Linked DNA regions of Saccharomyces cerevisiae S288C. Each later gene encodes a partner of the first gene's protein in a complex. Each region holds a gene or a part of one and is shown on either strand. Other genes may lie near its edges. The genes, in order: IMG1, RML2, MRP7 and MRPL39.

The links.
Region 2: IMG1 (region 1) and RML2 share a complex: the UniProt entries of both Saccharomyces cerevisiae proteins name them as parts of the mitochondrial large ribosomal subunit.
Region 3: IMG1 (region 1) and MRP7 share a complex: the UniProt entries of both Saccharomyces cerevisiae proteins name them as parts of the mitochondrial large ribosomal subunit.
Region 4: IMG1 (region 1) and MRPL39 share a complex: the UniProt entries of both Saccharomyces cerevisiae proteins name them as parts of the mitochondrial large ribosomal subunit.

What each region holds. Positions count from the first base shown.
Region 1 is NC_001135.5:208,104-214,451, reverse strand, and holds IMG1 (mitochondrial 54S ribosomal protein bL19m IMG1), read left to right. Parts: upstream 1-4,028; coding exon 4,029-4,538; downstream 4,539-6,348. Other genes in the region: YCR051W (uncharacterized protein), read right to left, coding at 1-381; YCR050C (uncharacterized protein), read left to right, coding at 680-988; ARE1 (sterol acyltransferase), read right to left, coding at 691-2,523; BUD23 (18S rRNA (guanine1575-N7)-methyltransferase), read left to right, coding at 2,907-3,734; RRT12 (Rrt12p), read left to right, coding at 4,842-6,317. UniProt on the Saccharomyces cerevisiae protein: Component of the mitochondrial ribosome (mitoribosome), a dedicated translation machinery responsible for the synthesis of mitochondrial genome-encoded proteins, including at least some of the essential transmembrane subunits of the mitochondrial respiratory chain.
Region 2 is NC_001137.3:57,118-64,102, reverse strand, and holds RML2 (mitochondrial 54S ribosomal protein uL2m RML2), read left to right. Parts: upstream 1-3,251; coding exon 3,252-4,433; downstream 4,434-6,985. Other genes in the region: seripauperin PAU2, read right to left, coding at 13-375; VMA8 (H(+)-transporting V1 sector ATPase subunit D), read right to left, coding at 4,955-5,725; AFG1 (Afg1p), read right to left, coding at 6,003-6,985. UniProt on the Saccharomyces cerevisiae protein: Component of the mitochondrial ribosome (mitoribosome), a dedicated translation machinery responsible for the synthesis of mitochondrial genome-encoded proteins, including at least some of the essential transmembrane subunits of the mitochondrial respiratory chain.
Region 3 is NC_001146.8:620,044-625,253, reverse strand, and holds MRP7 (mitochondrial 54S ribosomal protein bL27m MRP7), read left to right. Parts: upstream 1-2,825; coding exon 2,826-3,941; downstream 3,942-5,210. Other genes in the region: PET8 (Pet8p), read left to right, coding at 1-279; HRB1 (mRNA-binding protein), read right to left, coding at 633-1,967, 2,310-2,339; TOR complex subunit LST8, read right to left, coding at 4,276-5,187. UniProt on the Saccharomyces cerevisiae protein: Component of the mitochondrial ribosome (mitoribosome), a dedicated translation machinery responsible for the synthesis of mitochondrial genome-encoded proteins, including at least some of the essential transmembrane subunits of the mitochondrial respiratory chain.
Region 4 is NC_001145.3:248,951-254,965, reverse strand, and holds MRPL39 (mitochondrial 54S ribosomal protein bL33m MRPL39), read left to right. Parts: upstream 1-3,449; coding exon 3,450-3,662; downstream 3,663-6,015. Other genes in the region: DNA-binding transcription factor YAP1, read right to left, coding at 1-1,118; MIN4 (Min4p), read left to right, coding at 1,694-1,804; ERG6 (sterol 24-C-methyltransferase), read left to right, coding at 1,976-3,127; transcription elongation factor SPT5, read right to left, coding at 4,098-6,015. UniProt on the Saccharomyces cerevisiae protein: Component of the mitochondrial ribosome (mitoribosome), a dedicated translation machinery responsible for the synthesis of mitochondrial genome-encoded proteins, including at least some of the essential transmembrane subunits of the mitochondrial respiratory chain.

The DNA.
Region 1 (6,348 bases):
GCCGGACTTAATCCTCATGTACTCGATTAGCTCACCATCTTCACCGTTCTCGACGAACGAGTCGTATGGCGTTTGGCCCTCCACATTCCTGATAGTGAAGTCTCCACCCAGCTCTTCCACGATCAACCTGGCAGTGGCCACATCCTCCACATGGTGCAACGGGGTATCGCCGTCGTTGTCCAACACATTAATGTCTCCATTGTACTCATTGCACATTTTCTTCAGCAAATCCAGGTGGCCGTATGCGGCGGCAGCATGCATTGGAGTGTAGCCGTTAATGTCCTTGGATTGCGGGGTCATGGCGCCTTTACTCTCGCGGAGGATATGTTCCACTCGGTCCAAATTACCATCTGAAGCAGCCACCCATATATTAGCGTTCATTTTGTCGTCACAACACCTATAATCATCGATTTTTGTCACCTGCAAACTCTTCTTGTTCTCAATTATATCAAAGGCATCGAAAATTTTTGGGGTTATGACAAGGAAAAAAAAAGTATTACCCGAAACTTAAACAATGAATGGTATATACTATATTGTAAAGTTCTAATAATATATATAAATATGTATATAGATATATATATAGACCTAGGAGCTCTTTGCCCCTGTCTTTGACCACGGTGGAGCGGACGCCCATTCCCTATTGTATATCTATCAAGGGCTTGCGAGGGACACACGTGGTATGGTGGCAGTTCATAAGGTCAGGTACAACGTCATAATGATACTGGGCCCTGAACAGACACCAAACGAAAAGACAACGTTGGACAACTGCGGTCTTGCCCGTAGAAACTTGGTGTTGCTCAAAGCAGTCCACACAAACTGCGACAGTTGGAACATGAACAGATATCCTCTAACCCTTCTGAAAATGGCGAACATGGCCATTTCGTGGAACACGGCACTCAAGAAAAAAGTAAATAATGTAGCTTGGCTCTTGCTCAAATGCAATGCGCCCATGGAGCTGTGGTACACGTGTCTTAGTAAAAATTTGTGAACGGGGACGTTCCAGATTCTGCTAAACTCTTCAAACGAAACGCAATTCCACCAGTCGCCGTAGAAATATCTGTCCGCAAACCTGGTCAACTCCGCCACGCAATTCAATAAAGCGTCCCATATCATGTAAAACGTGAGCATGTACAGAACAGTGAAGCCCGGAATCATGTCGAAGAGCAGGTGGAACCACTCTTGCGTGGCGGGGATCCAGCCGCCGAAGGTGGGCGTGTTGTGGAACTGGATACAGCGCATGGCCACCGGGTGCATGAAGAACTGTGCCGTGACCATCATGAGGAAGATGGTGCCAATGATGGCGCACACCTTCTCCAACACATACCTCCATCTGATGCGCGACGTTCTTGGGTAGTTGATCTGGTACACGAGGACGGGGAACAAACAGAACATGAAGAAATTGCTGCAACTGATGTTGTTGGGGAAGTCGTTATCCTTGGTCTGGTAGTTCAATTCGAAAAGGCAAAAGTCGCAACTTTTTTGCAGAATCTCGCGGGTCTCTGGGGACAAAGATTCCTTGTATTTTTGCAACTGTTTGGAAGAGTACTCGAGTTCCTGCTTTATGTCCCAAAGATACCCGTTGTAAAAGGCAAACGAGTGGCTCTTCATAACAAACACCACGGAGTGCAGGAACAGGAAGATTCTCGTGACCCAGTTGAAATCAAAGTAGTAGACGTAAATGGGGAACGTCACGGGGATGAAAGCCAACTCGAAGATGCTCACTGCAACGAACCCAGTCCACTTCCAGTTGATGATCCGCTTTTTCACCAGCCAGTGCACGAAAACCACGAAGAAAGTGCACAGGAACATTGCCAAGTCCAACATTGCGATCGTGAACAAGTCCGTTGTCATGTACTGCACGATTTCCAGCTTATTCCATGCACTGCCGTACGACGCATAGTAATCTGTGCAGCACCTGATGGCTATCCAGCCCAAGAACATCCATGCGAACACGTAGATCCCTGAAAAGTTCGACTCCAGTTTTTCTCCTGGGGGGGCATCTGCCTTGTCCGTTTTCTCCGTAGTCTTCACCGTAGTCTTCACCGTGGCCTTGGTCTTGGTCTTTGTCAACTGTAAATTTTTGAGCTGTTTCTCCAGCACCGGACCTTTGAAAGTCGTCTGGAAGGGCACGTTGATGGCGCTGTCCAGGAGCGTGGGGCGAGGATCAAAACTCACGTCCCCAAAAAACGACACATACTTGCTAGCATCCTTTCGGTGGAACCTCGACCGAGACTTGCTCTTCAGGTGTGAAAGGTACTTTTGCATGTGGGCGTCCACAGGGTACTCCTCCTCCTGCTCCTGCTTCCCTGCCACACGTTCCGCCTCAGTCGACTCCACTCCTTCAGTCGACTCCACTGGCTCCACCAGCGACGTGGTAGACGACCGTGGCGAAACCTCCATGGACTCCTGTGGCAGGATCACGTTATCGTACGTGACCGAATGCCGTTTGTTGGCTTCTGCGGAATTGAGTCTGCGGATCTTAAGAAACTCTTCGTCTTGCAACAAATCCTTAGTCTCCGTCATTCTTGCAATCTGTTTTGGCGCTCTTGCTGCAAGCCGTGCTGAACAACCACCTGCGTGAGTGTGCCAATGGCGCCCCTTTCCTCCACCACGCTCGTCCTTCTTATATCATCCGCATGTTGCCAGGGTCTGCTGGGTGCTATTGTTCGCTAAACGAGTCCAACCACGGCCGGGTATTTGATGGCCAAGCCAGATTTTTTTTTTTTTTTCACTCTACACCATCTCACATTTTTCAATTTTATCGATAAAAAGAAGAGATGAGCAGCACATACATAGTGTGATAAAGAGGAAAAAAGCAGAAGAAGCAGAAGAAGAAGAGCATAGTAAAAAAGTAGTGCTAAAAAGGTGCGGTACGGAAACACAGGAAATATATCAGAGAAGAAATAATGTCACGTCCTGAGGAGTTGGCACCACCGGAGATTTTCTATAATGATAGCGAAGCACACAAGTACACGGGTTCGACCAGAGTGCAGCATATCCAGGCGAAGATGACGCTGAGGGCGTTGGAGCTTTTGAATCTGCAGCCGTGCAGTTTCATTCTGGATATCGGGTGCGGGTCCGGACTGTCTGGGGAGATTTTGACGCAGGAGGGAGACCATGTGTGGTGTGGTTTGGATATATCGCCCAGCATGCTTGCGACCGGTCTTAGTAGAGAGCTGGAGGGCGACTTGATGTTGCAGGATATGGGCACCGGGATACCGTTCCGGGCGGGCTCGTTTGACGCGGCTATTAGTATCAGTGCGATCCAATGGCTGTGCAATGCGGACACTTCATACAACGATCCTAAACAGCGGTTGATGAGGTTTTTCAACACATTGTATGCTGCACTGAAGAAGGGAGGGAAATTTGTGGCCCAGTTCTACCCGAAAAACGACGACCAGGTGGACGACATACTGCAGTCTGCCAAGGTGGCAGGGTTCAGTGGCGGGCTTGTGGTGGACGACCCAGAGTCTAAAAAGAATAAGAAGTACTACCTTGTGTTGAGCAGTGGGGCCCCACCGCAGGGGGAGGAGCAGGTGAATTTGGACGGTGTGACCATGGACGAGGAGAACGTCAACTTGAAGAAACAACTGCGCCAGCGCTTGAAGGGAGGCAAAGACAAGGAGTCTGCCAAGAGTTTCATTCTAAGAAAGAAGGAGCTCATGAAAAGACGTGGGAGGAAAGTTGCGAAGGACTCCAAGTTCACCGGGAGGAAAAGAAGACACAGGTTCTAGAAGAAACACACATCCTCACACGCATATTCTTTTGTATACTATAAAAATACACACTTATACATTTCCCTCTGTCTCTGTCTCCTTCTACATGTATACTTGTATATGTATACTTGTATATATACACTTATATCTGTATGTGAGTGGTCAATGGCTCCGCGCACTTTTATGTAGTGATGTATTTTCCTTTTTTTCTTGGTTTTCAATTTTGGTGCTTTGGAACTCCCAGTAAAGAAGAAGAAGAAGAATCGAGTCTTCCCTCTGAGCAGCTGCTGAAAGGGAGAGAGAACCATAGCGATGTGGAGCAGGAACGTCAGATTGCTTGGATCATGGACAAGGTCCTACATGGTCCCCGCCACCAAGAGAAAAACCATCCCCGTGTACCCACCTGTGCAGCGCATAGCTTCGTCGCAGATTATGAAGCAGGTGGCCCTCTCAGAAATAGAGTCTCTGGATCCCGGGGCCGTTAAGAGGAAGCTCATCAGTAAAAAGAACAAGGACCGCTTGAAGGCAGGCGACGTGGTCCGGATTGTGTACGACTCGTCCAAGTGCTCGTACGACACCTTTGTTGGCTACATCCTTTCCATAGACCGCAAACAACTGGTGCAAGACGCCTCGTTGCTGTTGCGGAACCAGATAGCCAAGACGGCCGTCGAGATTAGAGTGCCATTGTTTTCGCCGCTGATCGAGAGAATCGACTTGCTAACCCCCCACGTCTCGAGCAGACAAAGAAACAAACACTACTACATCAGAGGTACAAGGTTGGATGTCGGCGACCTCGAGGCAGGTCTAAGAAGAAAGAAATAGGCTAGGCGCGGGTTCTGTGGCCACCCATCTCCTGTATATAAGAAAAATAGTGCGTGTATAAAATCTACGTATACTAACTATGGGTAAAGTAAACCTTTTTGTACTGTTTTCTTTTTTTTTTTTTTGGTTTCCCGTAGTGATGACGTACGTGTATAGAGAATTGAAGCGAAAATAAAAAAAACGACACAAAATATTGTTCTCATTGGCTTTTTTATTTTCTATTTTACACAGCATATAGAGGTATACTCAAGTGCTAGACATCCTCTAACATCCGCCAAGAAAAACAGCAAAAAAACACTGGTCATGAAGCCACAGTGCATACTCATCTCTTTGCTGGTCAACCTCGCATACGCAGAGGAGTATTTGGTGAGGTTCAAAAATCCCACAGCATTCCAACAATTCACTTCGAATTCCAACAGGTCATGGAGACAGTTCATCGACAACAAAATTGAGAAGAAATTCTCCATCGGATCCTTCCGCGGCGTGACCATGAACCTGTCCAAGAACTTAGTGAACAAGCTGAAGAAAAGCCCACTGGTGGCTGATATTGTGCCCAACTTCAGGTTCGAAGCTTTTGAAGGCGACAGTGTAAATAGCGCCGAGTCGAGTTATACGTTTAACGCTACCGCCAAATACTCGTACGAAGACGTCGAGGAAGAGCAAAATATAACGTATCAACCAGACGCACCCCGTCACTTGGCCCGGATTTCCCGCCACTACCAACTCCCATTCGACGTTGGGGACAAGGACCGCTACAAAAGCTGGTTCAATTACTACTATGAACACGACTATCAAGGTCAAGACGTCAACGCCTATATCATGGATACGGGTATCTTCGCGGACCATCCGGAATTCGAAGACAGAGTCATCCAGGGGATTGACTTGACCAAAGAAGGGTTTGGCGACCAGAATGGCCACGGAACGCACGTGGCGGGACTCGTAGGTTCCAAAACGTATGGAGCGGCAAAGAGGGTCAATCTTGTGGAGGTCAAAGTCTTGGGCAAAGACGGGTCTGGCGAGGCCAGTAACGTTCTTAGTGGTCTGGAGTTCATCGTGGAACATTGCACAAAGGTCAGTCGCCCACAGGGTAAAAAATGCGTGGCCAATCTAAGTCTAGGGAGTTTCAGGAGCCCCATAATCAACATGGCAGTGGAGGGGGCCATTGAAGAAGGTATTGTATTTGTTGCCGCGGCGGGGAACTTCAATTTAGACGCCTACTGGGCCTCACCTGCGTCTGCAGAAAACGTTATCACCGTAGGGGCCTTTGATGACCACATTGACACGATTGCCAAGTTCAGCAATTGGGGGCCCTGTGTAAACATCTTTGCCCCAGGCGTGGAAATTGAGTCGCTATCTCATCTGAACTACAACGACACTTTAATTTTGTCAGGTACATCTATGTCGACGCCCATTGTCACCGGAGTTGCAGCGATCCTACTCTCGAAGGGAATTGAGCCTGAAATGATAGCACAGGAGATTGAGTATTTGTCCACGCGTAATGTTTTCCATAGAAGAACGTTGTTTTTCAAGCCTTCTACGCCAAACCAGATTCTTTACAACGGCGTCGATAAACTGGACGATCCATATGACGACGAAACGTTCCCTCGATTGAACATAGAGGCAATTGCTAAGGAACTGGAGGAGTACAATGCCACTTTACAAACTCCTATGTCTGAGAATCTTCAATCTGGTTCAAAACTGTGGGGTTGGAATAACGATGTCACACTACCTCTTGGTGAGATTCGATTGAAGAGGCGTGATTTTATGAAAAATTTGTAGTGTTTTTCTCTTTCTCTCATAAATAAATTAT
Region 2 (6,985 bases), on another chromosome or scaffold:
TGGCGTTTGTCTCTAGTTTGCGATAGTGTAGATACCGTCCTTGGATAGAGCACTGGAAATGGCTGGCTTTAATCTGCTGGAGTACCATGGAACACCGGTGATCATTCTGGTCACTTGGTCTGGGGCAATACCAGTCAACATGGTGGTGAAGTCACCGTAGTTGAAAACGGCCTCAGCAACTTCAATTGGGTAGGTTTCAGTTGGGTGAGCAGCTTGGAAAGAGTAGTATTGAGCCAAATGAGCTCTGATATCAGATACGTAGACACCCAATTCAACCAAGTTGACTCTTTCGTCAGATTGAGCTAGAGTGGTGGTTGCGGAAGCAGTAGCAGCGATGGCGGCAACACCAGCGGCAATTGAAGTTAATTTGACCATTTTATTTGTTTTGTTTGTGCTGATATAAGCTTAACTAGGAAGAGAAGAGTGGAGGCATATACCAAAGAGAGGTAACCAAAGCAGTTCAATTTATATGAATTTCTCGGCCAGCTTCTCTTACATGAACGAGGGGCCACCTTTCACCTCATGAACATTATTGTTATTGCTATTGTTATTGAGATGCCTTTACTCATGAACGATCCATTTTTGGAGGTCTCGTATAAGAGGGCGCGGTTTTGAGTTAATGATACTCATTCGTATATTCAGAATGCAAGAATGTGCTTACAGTGGAGACTAGTTGAACCTTTTTTGAGTCCCTGAAATATTTCCAGTCTGCTAGCTCAGCAGTTGAGTCGAAGTAATATGATATGAGTGTTCGTTCAGAAACCACTGTTCAAGCGTTGACCTTAAACGGGATATCGGAGCTTGGCCTTTTTTTCCCAAATTAGAAACATGCGTAATGTCGATTAATTTTGAATTAGCGTCGTCTGGTACTATATGGGTGATCAAGAGTTGTCTACTATGTGAATCAAACGAATAAGGGATAATAATCAGTAGGACGAAGCACGCGTTAGATAATTAATGGCACATTGTTTCAAGGAATTAGTTTTTGCAGCCGTTTAGAGCTAGCTATAATGATAAAATAGTTCGTTCATATACTCCGGTGGGATCATTGCAGAAATTGAGAAAGAAAGAACGTTGAATATGACATACGTAGGTAAACGAAAATTTATAGACTAACCAGGTTCAAGGCATTCTTTGATCCATTGACCTCGTTGATACCTCTACTATTTTCGATCATTACTACTAATAGAATAACAGCAATAAAATTTACATAGATGATCATATTATATGTTAATGGTGAAGAAATTCACCTCCGACCGTGGTATGTCAATGTGAGATATCACAAAAGTTACTGAATTTTGATCCGGATTTCACTGCCACTATTTACTTAGATTCAGATTTGAGAGTGAAAAATGGGTGAATTTTGAGATAATTGTTGGGATTCCGTCTGTGTTGAAGGCAATAATATTAGGTATACAGGATATACTAGAAGATTTCCTCGAGATTATAGAAATGCCCAAAAGGAAGTCGATAGTGCTACATAATTATGTAACTTCATCCTCCTTCCTTTTATACTTTGTCGTTCGCTACCCTATTACATTATTAATTCTTGCATTTCAGCTTCCTTTAAATTTGATAGCTGTTTCCCATCGTACTTTTTGTCAACTAATTCTGTCCTATATGATAATTGAAGAGTGGGTGAATTTTGAGATAATTGTTGGGATTCCATTTTTAATAAGGCAATAATATTAGGTATGTAGAATGTACTAGAAGTTCTCCTCGAGGATTTAGGAATCCATAAAAGGGAATCTGCAATTCTACACAATTCTATAAATATTATTATCATCATTTTATATGTTAATATTCATTGATCCTATTACATTATCAATCCTTGCGTTTCAGCTTCCACTAATTTAGATGACTATTTCTCATCATTTGCGTCATCTTCTAACACCGTATATGATAATATACTAGTAACGTAAATACTAGTTAGTAGATGATAGTTGATCTTTATTCCAACAATAATACATATTAATACTATATACATAAGATCAAAGATGAAACTTGCTTCTTATTCCAGCAAGATTCTATATGCCATGATATACGACGAATAATATTTTGTGAATCAAGTTGATACTCCAAGGTTATGTTCTAATCTATGTTCTGTGGGTTCTTTATTTTTTGAATAACAACAAATAGTAAGCGCAAGTGGTTTAGTGGTAAAATCCAACGTTGCCATCGTTGGGCCCCCGGTTCGATTCCGGGCTTGCGCAGCTTTATTTTTTTAATCCATTCATTTCATGAGCAACTGTCAACTAATTCCAATACGAAGAGCCTAATTCTTTGATAGTTCCTTTTCTTTTCTAGTTTAGATTTCAGAAAGCGTAAACAACAATTTTAATCATCGTATTCAAATTTACATCGAACACGTTCATGATTAGCATGGAGTGTAATCATCATCAAAAAAAAAAAAAAAGAGGAGTGATAATGGCAATTAAGACAATTTTTTATATAACAGTAAGAATTGATATTGAAACCAAATTGTGCTTAACAAAAAAAACTAGGTCGAATGGATATTTTTCTTAATCCAACCGTACCGCTGTGTACAAATGAGGCAAAAGAGGTAAAATGTTTGAGAAAAGATTCCTTTCTTCAGCAATCCTTTTCTTGCATTAAATACATGTTCCTTGAGAAAACTTTTGATGTTTAATGTGTAAATATCTCATTAATTTCAGAATTTTCAGTGTTTGTTGTTTGTAAAATCAGTCATTTCAAAGATCCGCTTGGGGCGACAACTTAGTCATCATGTTAATGAGATACCAACAAAAAACTGTACTTGTAAGTTGTCTTTATCATCTCTAAAGGAACAATAATGCAGAAGAGAAAAAAGTAAAGAAAGTAATACACAAACATCCCCCTCTTGGCTTTATAAGCATACGCAAACAGTATAGTTCGAAAAAAAAAGTATTAGTACGATCTATTTTTGTTTGTCAGGAACTCCTGTTCCTTAACACATTCTATAGAAATATCTATATGTTACCATCCACGTACAGGTTGAAGCGCTTGGTATTTAAGATGAATAAGTATATTCTACGGTTAAATTTGAATAGAACCTCTGTTCTTTAAATACTCAAAAAAAATTTTCCATGCAAAAAAAAGACTACGCGAGGTGGAAAGTTAGGGCTTGAACCTATAATTGAAAGAGAAAGGGAACGTATGGGAAACTGAAAGCGAGTTCTAACTAAGCAAAAGAGAACGTTGTAAACTAGTCCAGAAATACGCAGAGAAGATAATTTAAGTGTTTATGAAAGATGTTGGTGCTAGGGTCTCTTAGATCGGCGCTGTCGTGCAGTTCCACAGCATCGCTTATTAGTAAGAGAAACCCTTGTTATCCATACGGTATACTCTGTCGAACTCTATCTCAGAGTGTTAAATTGTGGCAAGAGAATACTTCAAAAGATGACTCCAGTTTGAACATTACTCCACGATTACTAAAGATTATACCTAACGATACTGATATCGTGACTCTTGAGAAGCAGGATGAATTGATTAAAAGACGTCGTAAACTTTCGAAAGAAGTGACCCAGATGAAGAGGCTAAAACCCGTCTCACCTGGTTTGAGATGGTACCGTTCCCCCATTTATCCATATTTGTACAAAGGTCGTCCGGTTAGAGCCCTAACTGTTGTTCGAAAGAAGCACGGTGGTAGAAATAATTCAGGAAAAATCACTGTCCGTCACCAAGGTGGTGGCCATAGAAATAGAACGAGGCTGATAGACTTTAACAGATGGGAAGGTGGTGCACAAACGGTGCAAAGGATTGAGTACGATCCGGGTAGATCCTCTCATATCGCCCTATTGAAGCATAATACTACCGGCGAATTGTCTTATATTATTGCTTGTGATGGGTTACGCCCAGGCGATGTGGTCGAATCCTTCAGAAGAGGTATTCCTCAAACTTTACTGAATGAAATGGGCGGGAAAGTAGACCCTGCTATCTTGAGTGTTAAGACTACCCAAAGAGGCAACTGTCTACCTATTTCCATGATCCCCATAGGTACTATTATTCACAACGTTGGCATAACACCCGTTGGACCTGGAAAATTTTGTCGCTCTGCTGGTACATATGCCAGAGTCCTTGCGAAATTACCTGAAAAAAAGAAAGCTATTGTTAGATTACAAAGCGGTGAACATCGTTATGTGTCTTTAGAGGCTGTCGCTACCATTGGCGTGGTCTCCAATATTGACCATCAAAACAGATCTCTTGGTAAAGCCGGCAGATCAAGATGGTTAGGGATAAGACCCACTGTTAGAGGTGTTGCCATGAATAAATGTGACCATCCTCACGGTGGTGGCCGTGGTAAATCCAAGTCTAATAAATTATCAATGTCTCCATGGGGACAACTGGCAAAGGGGTACAAGACTAGAAGGGGTAAAAATCAAAATAGAATGAAAGTAAAAGACAGACCAAGAGGCAAAGATGCAAGATTATAAATAGGCTAATTTTAGTAGAAAAGAAGCAACATAGGGACCTTTTCTTCGTTGTTCTGGTTACATTTATCTGTACTATATAATTTTGCACAGCCTGTAGACAATGCCGCTTGTCCACAATCATGTAAATATAAATATTGAAACTTTTCACTTGTTTAAAATTTATGGCAAACCACTTTAATACTTTTTTCTTTTTAGGTACAATATTTACATTTTGATACTGTCCATCAGATTTTAGTCACTAACATCTAAGTTAAGGAAGTAAGAGATTCAGACTCCGGTAAGGAAAAAAAAAAAAAAGAAAAAAAAAAAACAAACTCTGAAATGAAAGCATTAGAAGAAAAAGTTATATCTCATGTACAATTTGAGCAAATTTGGACCGATATGATTTGAGGTTGTATGATAAGAAGTGCTATTTATGATTGTTTAAAAAGATGTTATTTTATTAAACAATTATACAAAATATCCTTTTTTTTAATAATGGCTTACATATTTTTGAAAAGGGTCTTGTTCTGCCTGAAACTTCAGAATATAACATCGTCTTCTTGATCAGCAACCAATGTTTCACCTTGAGGTTCCTCATCAGCAGCTACTTCTGAAGCATCTTGTTCTGCTCTATCTCTCTTCAATTTCATCTCAGCATCCAATTTTGCAGTCTCATTTTGCTTCTTTTCTTGGACCTTTTTCAATCTATAAAATTCTTCTCTGTCCAACTCATCCAACTCACTGTTAATGTAAGCAATTGTGTTTTCAGTTCTTGGGATAATAACGTGTTCGATAGCATTAACCCTTCTGTTCGTCACTTTAATCACTTCATCCAAAATAATAAATGCAGTCTGTAAAGAGGCTAATTCAACTAAAGTTTCAACGGCTCTTGAATAGATTTCCTTGGCTCGTTGAACCTGTTGACCACCTCTACCTAAACCAGTTAATCTGAAATCATTAATTTCAGGGTCGATGTAGGACTCAAATTGAGACAAATACACACCACTAACGTTTTCTTGACGTGCTCTCACTTTGAATCTTGCAGTAGAGACACTTTCTTGCACTTGATAGCCAATGTTTTCACCTGTTGCATAGGAAACTTCGGCCAAGGAAAAGGCAGCAGTTTGCATAACTCTCCCCATCTTTTGCTTAGCATCATCAATTCTTTTGGTAATATCTCTGAATCTCTTTGTTAGGGCTTCAGACTTACGCTTTAGTAAAGAATAACCTTGGTTGGCACCTTTTAACTTGGTCTTCATCAAACCCAGCGTCATACGCGTAGGAAAGACTTGCTCTCTATTACCAGACATTTTTGAACCTTTTTCACAATGCTGTTAGGAACCTATGTACTACAGATGCTGATTTATTCTACTGCTGCTTCATCTAACCTTTATCTGTACTGCCATTGTCTTTTAACAATCCCCGTTCCTAATCAAATTTGCATTCGGGTAACAAAAAATCAGGTGAGTAATATCAGTAATAAAAAGCACTATTGTTAAAGGTGTAACTGCGGCAATTGTTAGACGATCAAAGTTCGTGTTTAGAATAAATACAAGAATATAAATAAACACTTTTGTTACATAGGGTTTAGTATGTAGGCTTAGTAACCCAATCGGTGGAGCTCATCTGTGACAGCCTGCTTAAGGCACGGGCAAAGGCAAATCTTTCTTCATCAAGAGCAAACATCTGCGATTTCTTGGCAATCTCTTTCGAAAAACCGTGTTTCTCAACCATCTCATCTACCATACCAGTATCGACGCTATCAGGTTCTTTGGTTGTTGGGCGTAACTCAAAATCATTAAGTATCTGTTCAGGTTCCACAAACAAGGAAGAAAAATCCGCTGCACCCGTAGTGGCCAGTTTCCCGCCACTGTCATATACAGCATCTAAAAATGTAATAAATCTTCTCACTTCATCACGAACGTAAATGGACAAATATGGAATATCGGTCACTATAAAGGCTTCAAAATTTTTTGCCAACGTCAAGTAATCTCCTGCGGCCAAAGGCTCACCACACAACTGCTTGAAAGTAAACTGCGCGACTCGAGGTGGGGTACACTTAGGGACTTTGAACTCTCTCCCCCAAATAGTTAATGGATAATCATAAAATGTCTTATGCACCGTGTGTGAATCAGTGGAATCATCGGTGTGGGAAGCCTGTGCGAAATAGTTATACCATTCCTTAATATGAGTTTCTCGACGGGTTTTACATTCCTTTGATGCGTATTTTATGCTCGTATCGGATGGGAAATAGTAAACTGAGGACACAGGTCTTGGAATCTTACGGTAATCTGTTGGCGAATTCAAGAAGATAACCTTAGTTCTATGCTTTATCAGTTCAATACAAGGAATAAATGATTGTCTTTGAACACCGTTGATATACAACTCATCTGGATGTCTATTCGAGGTTGCGAAAAGTACGACACCATAATCATCGGATAGTAAGGCAGTCATCAGCCTTCTCAATATCATTGCATCTGCCACGTCAGTGACTTGAAACTCGTCAAAACAAAGAACATGCGAATTATTTGCAATCTCTGCGGCCAAAAATGGAACCGTATCGATCTCTT
Region 3 (5,210 bases), on another chromosome or scaffold:
GGGGCTATCTGCGGTTCTATTGCGGGTGGGATCGCAGCAGCTACAACGACACCATTAGATTTCTTGAAAACCAGATTAATGCTCAACAAAACAACCGCCTCACTTGGAAGCGTTATTATTAGGATTTACAGAGAGGAAGGTCCTGCTGTATTTTTCAGTGGAGTGGGGCCCCGGACAATGTGGATCAGTGCAGGTGGTGCTATCTTCCTAGGCATGTATGAAACTGTTCATTCGTTATTATCGAAAAGTTTCCCAACGGCTGGAGAAATGAGAGCGTAATGAAAACATAGAGCAAAAGCAACTACCAGTTGTAAGAGGTAGATCGTTTACGTACTTTACGTAAGCCTTCTGAGGCCTCTTGTCTGTTGTTTATTTTTTGTTATTCATATAAAAAAGTCGTCTATTTACGATATCTGTTCAAAGTACTTTTTTGGATATTTGTTAAACCCATTTTCACTGTATTGGAAAAATCAGACTCTTTTCACAGTCTTCTTCAAAGTCTTCGAAATTTTTTCAGATTATACGTATACACAATGACATTATAAAGTTAAAAAGCCTGGAAATAAGTCAAGAATGAATAAATACTTGTCGCAGATCCAATAGGTGAGAAAGTATATAGATCGAGAGTAGTTCTAGAGGCGTTTAGCGTACGATATATCCAAATCACAACCCCCATAGTTATAATTATTCAATCTTTCAATACAAACATCTGCATCATCGACGTTATCGTATTCAACGACAGCTATTCCAGTTGGTGCCCCTTTGGAATCATACCTTAATTCAGCATTGTTAACCTTTCCGATTGTCTCGAAAAGGTCGTAAAGATCACTTTTTGCAGTTGAAAATGGCAAATTACTGCAATATATGAGTCTATTTCTTTCACCTCCACCGACAACGTTTTCGGTAAATTTTCGAGCTTCTTCGTTAACGGGAGAATCATCCATTGGGATATCAACATCGTCTCCATCACTGTGGTTATGTACGCTTTCCTTAGACTTGACATCCAAGACGTTACCCTCTATACTATAACCGTTGTATTTCTCAATCGCTCTATGCAGATCTTTAATATCATAAAAGGACACCGTACCAGATCCAGTGGATACTCCATCGCCATCCAATTCCACATCAGCGTGTGCGACATTCCCACATTCCTTGAATATGTCTTTCAAAGCCTGCCAATTAACGGAAGCAGGTAAATTTTTTACAATAACTTCATGTGTTTTTCGGTTATGTCTAAGCTCTCCTCTATCGAGTGCTTTCCTTTCCTTGATATTGTTTGACGGTGGTGGATTATCTTGCCTGACGAAGATTTTACGATCCATGAAGAAGGCCCCATCGTACTGGCGGATGGCCCTGTCAACATCATCCGAATTAGTGAACTCTACTGTACCCATACCTCTGTGGTGCCCTCTTGATGTAATTATATCCGCGCGGACTACTTTTCCTATCTGTGAAAAAAACTCAGTGAGATCTTCGGGGGTGCTGTCATATGTTAAATTACCCACGAATATACTATTGGAATAGTTTCTATTGACCTTTTCTTCGTATGTACTATCCAATTCACGTGCCAACAAAGGACCGTAATCACCTCTTGCTCCACTACTACCAAAACCGCCTCTCCTACTGTCATCACGTGTATTGTGTCTACTCCTAAAGCTTCTAGGATAGTCATCACGTCTGTTCCCATAACGACCAGTCACATCTCTTCCTCTGCGCCTATCATCGTAACGGTCTCTAGATCTAGGATTATCTCTGTTATTGAACCTTTCTCTTTCTCTGTAATCAGACCTTTCTCTACCTCCTCTATATTCTCCTCTATCTCTGCTTCCTCTGTACGTATCTGCGAACTTACGCCTACCGTTATAATTACCTGACCTCCGGGACAAATGGTTGTCTCTTTCATAACCATGATCATCACTCATCCGACGACGAACAGGTGATCTCGACCTCGATCTACTTCGATTATTCTACAACAATGAATAACATTAGTAAAAGTAACTAAATTTCATAATGAGAGAGACCAATAAGTCATTGCGTTTCAAAGTTGGAATAAACTGTACATTATAGCATGGCAGGTAGAAAATCAGGGTTTTATTTATAATTGATATTCTCACTTTCATAGCCAGTAGATAAACATTAGCAATGCATTCAAAAAACCCCCTTTAACCAGTGGAATCACATTGAAGCAAGCGTTTTGAAGGCAGCATTAAATGGTGACTCACCATTCGTTGATGTCTATTTAATTCCAATGACCTCATAAAGTCTCATTTTACAAACTTTTCTTCACCTCCCTTATCAATGAAACATACGTTTTCTGAACCTCGTTCTTGATCAGACATATCCTGTTAACTTAATATTTGGCGTTCTATCTGCTCATTCAAACTGTTTTCGAACTCATGAGCAAACATAATTATGAAATTTTTCAGCCAGTACTCTACTTTTTCATTTCCCTCGCTAAACAAAGAGAGTCATTTGAAACGACCCAAGGAAAGACGTAAATTGAGGTATATGTAGTGACCAGAAGAGGATAAGGATGGCTAGAGTTTGGTGTTCAAGTTCAATTGTTTGGTTGAATAGGTACTAAAAAGATTTTCACACAACGGCTTCTCTGTAATGTTATACACACTGTTTTTATACCAATTATGCAAATTTGGCTGTTATGACTGGGTGTTTCGATATCTGACGTTCCGCTATTGAATTTTAAAGCTCTTTCTTTGGAGACTCATTCAAGATAGTTCACTGAAGAATGAAGTTGGCTCATTGTAAAAATAAAACTCGCCAGTTTGGGTGGTCATAATATTTCAAGCTTAACCTAAGGTGAGAATATGTGGAATCCTATTTTACTAGATACTTCTAGTTTTTCATTCCAAAAACATGTGTCTGGTGTGTTCCTTCAAGTGCGTAATGCCACCAAAAGGGCTGCGGGCTCGAGAACAAGTATGAAGGATTCTGCAGGAAGAAGGTTAGGACCAAAAAAATATGAAGGCCAGGATGTTTCCACAGGTGAAATTATTATGAGGCAAAGAGGAACAAAGTTTTATCCTGGAGAAAACGTTGGTATAGGGAAAGATCATTCCATATTCGCCTTAGAACCTGGTGTTGTTCGTTACTATCTTGATCCTTTTCATCCTAAAAGAAAATTCATTGGTGTTGCCTTGAGGCGTGATTTGAAACTGCCATCTCCTCATTTTGAGCCTACCGTAAGGAGGTTTGGCCGTTTTGAGTTAACAAATAAAAGGGCAGCATATAAGGAAGAAAATTCTATTTCTAGAAAAGACTATCTCGCAAAACCTAATATTTTGAAGCAGTTAGAGGTCAGGGAATCTAAAAGAAAGGAGTTACAAGACAAGTTGAGTAAGGTTCTTCGGGATGAACTTAAGTTAGATATAAAAGACATCGAATTGGCAACGTCATACTTAATTCGTGTAAGGGCTTCCCTGAAGAATGGATACCCCATAGAAGATGCAAGGTTCAATAGTAGATATTATTTAAAAGAAGAAGAGCGTTTGAAGGCAAGGAGAGAAAGCTGGACGAATGAGAAATTGTCGGAGAGTCTATCCAAGATTGATGAGTGTAGTGATCTTTTGAACTCATCTACATCTTTCAATAACAAGCTAGAGCTACACCAGTATATTTCGGAACAAGAAAAACAAGCTTTGAAGGCAAAACTATTAGAGGACCTAGAAAAATCCCAACACTTAGAAACCAAAAAAGACAAGAATTATATTAAGGCGCTTTTCAAGGACGCTTGTAATTTTTTGACTTTATCTGAAGAAGTACATTTGCGTAGGAAATACTTAAAGTCGGTCTTCCCCGAAACAGATAGTACGGTTGAAACCAAAAGCGGGAAGAAGTCAATTGTGTCTAGACGTTTTGATTACACCAAAAATAAAGTTGAAGTCATTGCTAGAAGTAGGCGGGCTTTTTTGAGCAAGCTTTGATTTTCTTTCCTTACGCACAGTATGTACACATATAAAATGTTTAAGAATGCCTGTAAATATTACTATTTTGTCGCGCAAGTAGCTAAACCTTTCGTCTACACGAAACTTAAAATTTAGTGCTACATGCAAGGGAATATGTTTATACTGTACATTCTCGTCTTCCTTTCATTGATGATATGCATCGCGATTGCTTTCATTTTGTGAACAATCAATTAACTAAAATGCACAGGATAGTAAAATCTATATTTACAAAAAGGCGGATAAGCAAACACTGAAAATCATAATGTTTTTTGTCACTTCGGTCCTTCAAGCTTGGTAGTTGATAAATTGTAAACTATACATCGTTTAATGCGACACATACAGCTCCCTTGTGGTGTCCACCGTACTGTCTGACAATTTCTCTAGTTGATAAATCCCATAATCTCACGTAATGATCGGACGATGCCGTTACTAGATACGCACTGTCAGCACTAAATGCGCAATCCCAAACCCACCTTTGGTGGCCATCCAATGTCGTTTCTAGCTTAAAATCATCATCAATCGACCACACACGAGCAGTGTGATCCGCTGAACATGTTGCCAAATGTTTTACATCAGATGATAGTAGAATTCTAGTTATATATGTGGAGTGCGCTCTGAATTTTGTTACCGGTTTTAGATGGGATGCGTCAGTATGATTTGGCATTTCCCATACGTAACAATTACCTTTAGTATTTGCTGCCGCTAACATCGAACCATCACTTGCCATAGATAAAGACTGGAGAGAGGTATCGTCCTCAGGTGTCAATTGATGGGTACACTGATTTTCTCCTAAGTCCCAAATTCTTATATTACCATCTCTATCACAAGATATCAACTCGCCTTGGTTAGGATGAATTACGACTTCATTTACTGGTGCGTTATGTTTGTAATTTCTAGGAATGGACGGAGAACGCACATCCCAAACTTTAATGGTCCCATCTTCGCTAGAGGTCACCATCCATCTGTTGTCCTGTTGAAAAGAAACGGAGGTAACGTTTCCCCGATGACCCTCAAAGGATGCTACTGGATTGGGATTTGTCGTCCGAATGTCATAAAGCCGTACGTTTTGATGGCCTGCTGTTGCCAACAACTTTTTATCGTTGGTGATTTCTAAGCGATTAACCTGTGAGTCGGAATGCTGAATTGTTCTTGAACAAACCCCAGTAAGAGCCTCCCAAAATCTTATTGTGTGGTCATAGCCAGCAGATACTAAGATAACAGACATCAATCAGAACTCCTTTTTTATAT
Region 4 (6,015 bases), on another chromosome or scaffold:
AAGGAATTTTCATATTTAGTAGCATCAGTAGCAATGACATTAGCAGGAGTATTATCTGTAATATTAGAATGTGATTCCCAAGTATTTGTTAAAGCAGGAGAATTTGAACTTAGTATAGAAGATGACGCGAAAACTTCTTTATCAAGAGCCGAGATGGGTTTCTTGGGAATGGGACATTGCCTTGTTCCACATACCTGGTTCATTTTCGAACAAAACTCCGAAACTTGTTCATCAAATTGGTTTTCAAAATTAAAGTCATTAGAAAACATATTACTGTCTAAATTCTTAGTTTTACTATTGCTGCCATCATCACCTGACACAAACCTGTTAGTATATATTACATTATCTAACCAATCCATCGAAGTGGAGGAGTTTGGTGTGTTATTAAGAACATCGTTACTATTTGAAAGGGAATCCAAAGTAGCGCTGGAGGAATCTGTAGCGTCACTTAATTTCTTTTGTGTCTGATTTATAGGCATAGGAGCCGAATGACTTGGATCATTTGGTGAAGGTAATTGTTTCCCCACATTTTTACTGTTGTCGTTGTCGTTGTCGTTATCAAGCGGATATTGAAACGTGAAATTCATCTTTTGTTTAACATTTTCTTGTATGTCATCATTGGGTGTGTCAATTGGCTCGCTATTGCTGTGGTTAACGTTATTTTTTGAAAAATGCAAATTAGGATCTCGCCTTGCTAAATATTCCAGCACTTTTGAGTCATTTCTTGTCTCTGGTCTATATTTTTTTAACTCATTCACCAGAGTGATTAACTGGTCCCTCAAAAAAGTAGCTTCCACTTCATTTTGCTGCTGAATACTCTCTAAACTTTGTACCTTCTTCTCCAATTCCTTCATCTTCCTCTCCTTACGTTCCCTAAAAGCTCTTTGAGCGGCCCGATTTTGGGCAGTCCTCTTCTGCTTAGTTTCAGGATCCAAATCTTGCTTTTTGCTAGTTTTGCTACCCTTCTTCTTCGGTTGCTCGCTATCCTCGCCATCACGTGTACCAGTACGTCTATGTTCATTTTCTATTTCATCGTGACGAGATTTTGAACCCTCAAACTCCGCTAATGAACCCGGAGAAACGACATCCAGCGACCTCTTGGCGGTAGACACACTCATGGTTTAAGAAACAACTTTTCCTTCTTTAAACGTTTTGGGTGGCAAAAAACTTCCCTTAAACAAACTAAAAATGGCTCGTGTTCATGCACAAGTCAACCAGGGGCTCAGGAAAAAAAGCTAAACACCAATCCTATATATAACGTAAAGGTACTGTGCTTAATCGGTAAACGGAAGACTATTAAGCAAATGTATCTCTTAAGACCTTACGCATCCATCAGTTGCCACCCTCCTACTCTTCATCGGAGGGTTTCCGGTTCCCATGACAAAGACGGCGCTTTGGCGGGGCCCAAATTGTTACCCGCACCCAGAAAAAGAAAAGAGTAACCTAGGTCAAATCAACCAAACAGCTAGGGCTGGTTACTATTTTTGAAAAGATGCAACAGGGTAAGATCAGCAAAATTTAGGGCCGAACAAAGCCCCGATCTTCGTATATGGTACCTCGTTCCCGTACTTATTTTCAATTTTTGGCGTCGTTTACTGCCGTTTCCGATAAATACAAAAAAGTTTTCGAGAAGCGAGAGTAAGTGAGGAGCAGACAATGTATTATTCACTGTAAACTGCTCCACTTCGTCTCAATGGTACACTTCATTTTTATCGCCTTACGAAGCATGCGTTTTATGCGAAGATTGGTGAGAAACCTCCAATACTTGCTGTTGCCGATAACTTCTTCATTGCTTTTTATATAGTTCGGGTGTTTTCTCCTATCCTCTGCTGCTCTCTTTTTCTTTCCATTCGTCTTTGTAATTTATAAGCTGTTAATTTTCATTCAAGTTTCCCTTATCTGTTTTACTTTCGATTTAAGTTTTACATAATTTAAAAAAACAAGAATAAAATAATAATATAGTAGGCAGCATAAGATGAGTGAAACAGAATTGAGAAAAAGACAGGCCCAATTCACTAGGGAGTTACATGGTGATGATATTGGTAAAAAGACAGGTTTGAGTGCATTGATGTCGAAGAACAACTCTGCCCAAAAGGAAGCCGTTCAGAAGTACTTGAGAAATTGGGATGGTAGAACCGATAAAGATGCCGAAGAACGTCGTCTTGAGGATTATAATGAAGCCACACATTCCTACTATAACGTCGTTACAGATTTCTATGAATATGGTTGGGGTTCCTCTTTCCATTTCAGCAGATTTTATAAAGGTGAGAGTTTCGCTGCCTCGATAGCAAGACATGAACATTATTTAGCTTACAAGGCTGGTATTCAAAGAGGCGATTTAGTTCTCGACGTTGGTTGTGGTGTTGGGGGCCCAGCAAGAGAGATTGCAAGATTTACCGGTTGTAACGTCATCGGTCTAAACAATAACGATTACCAAATTGCCAAGGCAAAATATTACGCTAAAAAATACAATTTGAGTGACCAAATGGACTTTGTAAAGGGTGATTTCATGAAAATGGATTTCGAAGAAAACACTTTCGACAAAGTTTATGCAATTGAGGCCACATGTCACGCTCCAAAATTAGAAGGTGTATACAGCGAAATCTACAAGGTTTTGAAACCGGGTGGTACCTTTGCTGTTTACGAATGGGTAATGACTGATAAATATGACGAAAACAATCCTGAACATAGAAAGATCGCTTATGAAATTGAACTAGGTGATGGTATCCCAAAGATGTTCCATGTCGACGTGGCTAGGAAAGCATTGAAGAACTGTGGTTTCGAAGTCCTCGTTAGCGAAGACCTGGCGGACAATGATGATGAAATCCCTTGGTATTACCCATTAACTGGTGAGTGGAAGTACGTTCAAAACTTAGCTAATTTGGCCACATTTTTCAGAACTTCTTACTTGGGTAGACAATTTACTACAGCAATGGTTACTGTAATGGAAAAATTAGGTCTAGCCCCAGAAGGTTCCAAGGAAGTTACTGCTGCTCTAGAAAATGCTGCGGTTGGTTTAGTTGCCGGTGGTAAGTCCAAGTTATTCACTCCAATGATGCTTTTCGTCGCTAGGAAGCCAGAAAACGCCGAAACCCCCTCCCAAACTTCCCAAGAAGCAACTCAATAAATTCACTAGATCAATAAGATTCAAATAAAGCGCACGATATATACCTATTTTCCTATATATGCAGATAAAAAGATAGCACGTTCATTGCTAGCAGGCCTTACAAACAGACTGTCCGATGCCTTTACTACCCCACAATTTATCCCACTTGTGATTTTCAAGTTCGGCTTTTTTTTTTTTCATCATGTCGTGGCAAACGACCAGTATTTTCTATCAGAATAAGAAAAAACTATAATTCACTGCATACAAACGTATTGACTGCTCCCCTACAGCGGAAGATAGTAAGAATACAACATCGTAACTGTTTCCATATTTATGTGCCGATATGGTAAAAGTGAAATCTAAGAATAGTGTTATAAAGCTATTGTCTACAGCGGCAAGTGGATACTCTCGTTACATCTCGATTAAGAAAGGTGCACCTTTGGTTACTCAGGTCAGATACGATCCTGTGGTGAAACGGCATGTGCTTTTCAAAGAAGCAAAGAAAAGGAAAGTGGCAGAAAGAAAGCCATTGGATTTCTTGCGTACAGCCAAGTGAAGAAATATGAATAAGCACGAGCCCCGGCATGTAAGCCCATCGAATACGCAGACGTTACGCATTTTTTTTCATTTATCCTGTAAATAAGTAATGGATACATACATTTTGTATACGATTCAAACGGAAAGAAATTCCGCTAACGAAAAAGAAGTTATATAAAATTACATTACAATAATCAACTCCCTCATAATAAAGTTGATATTTCATTTAGATATGCAAAAACACATATGCATACATACATACATACGTATATGTAAAAGTTAGAATCAAGGAAAACTCGTGACATACAAATGCAAGCATAAATGAAAAAAAAAGATCGAGATTCAGTATTTCATCGAAACATCGAAATCTTCATAACTATTCTTATTAACGTGGTAATATTAAAGTCTTTTTTATTGATTTCTTCTTGGGTGATATTGGTTCTCCTTTTGGTGATTAATGACCTCCCCATGTACTGTTACCACCATAGTTTGACTTATTTCCTTGGTTGTTCCAAGCAGACCTATTTCCATCGTCTTGGTTACCCCATGCAGAAGCTCCGCCATCTCTTGTACTTTTATTATTGTTATTTCCTCCCCAGGTGGAAGCCCCGCCGTAGGCTGACCTATCACCGGTACCACCCCAAGTAGACATGGCACCATTAGATTCACCACCCGACGCCCAAGTGGATGCACCGCCCCAACTTGATTTGTTACCCCAGGCTGAAGCACCACCCCAAGTAGAAGTAGCACCAGTACCTTGGCCGCCCCAAGCTGAGGCACCGCCGCCAGCACCGCCCCAAGCGGATGCACCTCCATTACCTTGGCCACCCCAAGTGGAAGCACCACCCCATGAGGAGACACCGCCACCACCTGAGCCTCCATGCGCATTTACAGCTGGTGTTTTGCCACCATCGAAGGAGCTCCATCCTGGTGTCATACCACCGCTAAGACCAGAAGAGGTAGCCGCAGCACCTGCTGCAATACCGCCAGTGGCCATGTTTCTTGGGGCACTGACGTAACTTGGGCCCATTCTGGCCTGTGGAACTCTACCACGTCTATTAACCAATTCATCATACGTGATACCTTCACCTCCCTCACGGTTGTAATATGTTAACTTATGCTTGTCAATTGTAATGTGTTTGTTCTTCGAGTGTAATTCGACAGTAGCTTTATCACCATTCACATCTTTCACAATACCTAATTGACCCTTGTAACCAGCAGAACGAATTCTTACTGTTTTGCCGAGTGCAACTTCACGACCTCCTCTGGACTGGATGGGTTGTTGGAATGTCTTAGATGATGGAGGTCCCATTTTAGAAATGATTTCTGGATTCATTTTACTTAGATCCATTTTGTTACTTAACATATTGTCCTTGGATGCCACGGCCTCAACGTTACTAGGGTTAACAACAAAAACCCCTGCATTTTCAACAATCTTCTTTGAAACAACAAAAATTTGTTGTGTTTGTATGTACAGGACCTGACCTTCTCTGCGTGAACCTACTTTCTCTACTATGGTATCACCAATTTTGATTTCATTACCATTTGCATCGACACTAGAAACGCGTGCACGAGCAGTATTTATTTTACTCAAGATAGACCCCTTCGTAATTGTCGACACTTTACCAGTTTCATCAATAACCTTGAAGATATCGTGGCCAGCTTGAATAATACAAGCAACATTTTTAGCACTCAATTCGACTATGTCATGTAGCGCATATTCACTTGATGTAGCTGTAGTGTCGATGGATTTGGACAGATTATTTGCTGTAATGGTAACTTCTCTGCTTGTTTGAGTTGACATAAATGTCACTTGACCTTGCTCTACCATAAGAACTAAACCAGCATCACCTTGATGTTCACCATTGATGACAGTAACGTGATCACCAGGTTCGAAAATTTTCCTCAGAGTAGAGATAGGAAATTCTAGAGGCGTTGTAAAGCCATTTAGTTTGATAGTAGCAATATCTTTCGTGGTTCTTGTTACAATACCCTTGGAACCACGTTGTTCACCATTTAGAACTTCGATACGATCACCTGGCTGGAAAGTGACCTTTGCAGCTTGAGCCTTCTTGATTGATTGTGAAACTGATGTTAGATCTACCGCGCCCTCTTTGGAACCGAATCTTGCCAATTCCTCCACAGTTGGCTGAATATTTTTGGTTTCCACATGTTGAATTCTGAAGGACTTATACAGATAACCATCGATATAATCTTCATTCTTATAAGTAAAGTGGCGATCATCCCTTTTGTACAGGTTAGCTTGGTCTAATCTTAGAGCCATTGTTGGATTAAATAATTGCGGTGGTGCTCTATGAGCAAAAGTTGGTCTTCTGGATTTACGTTGCTGTGTTGTTGGATCAATTTCGTCG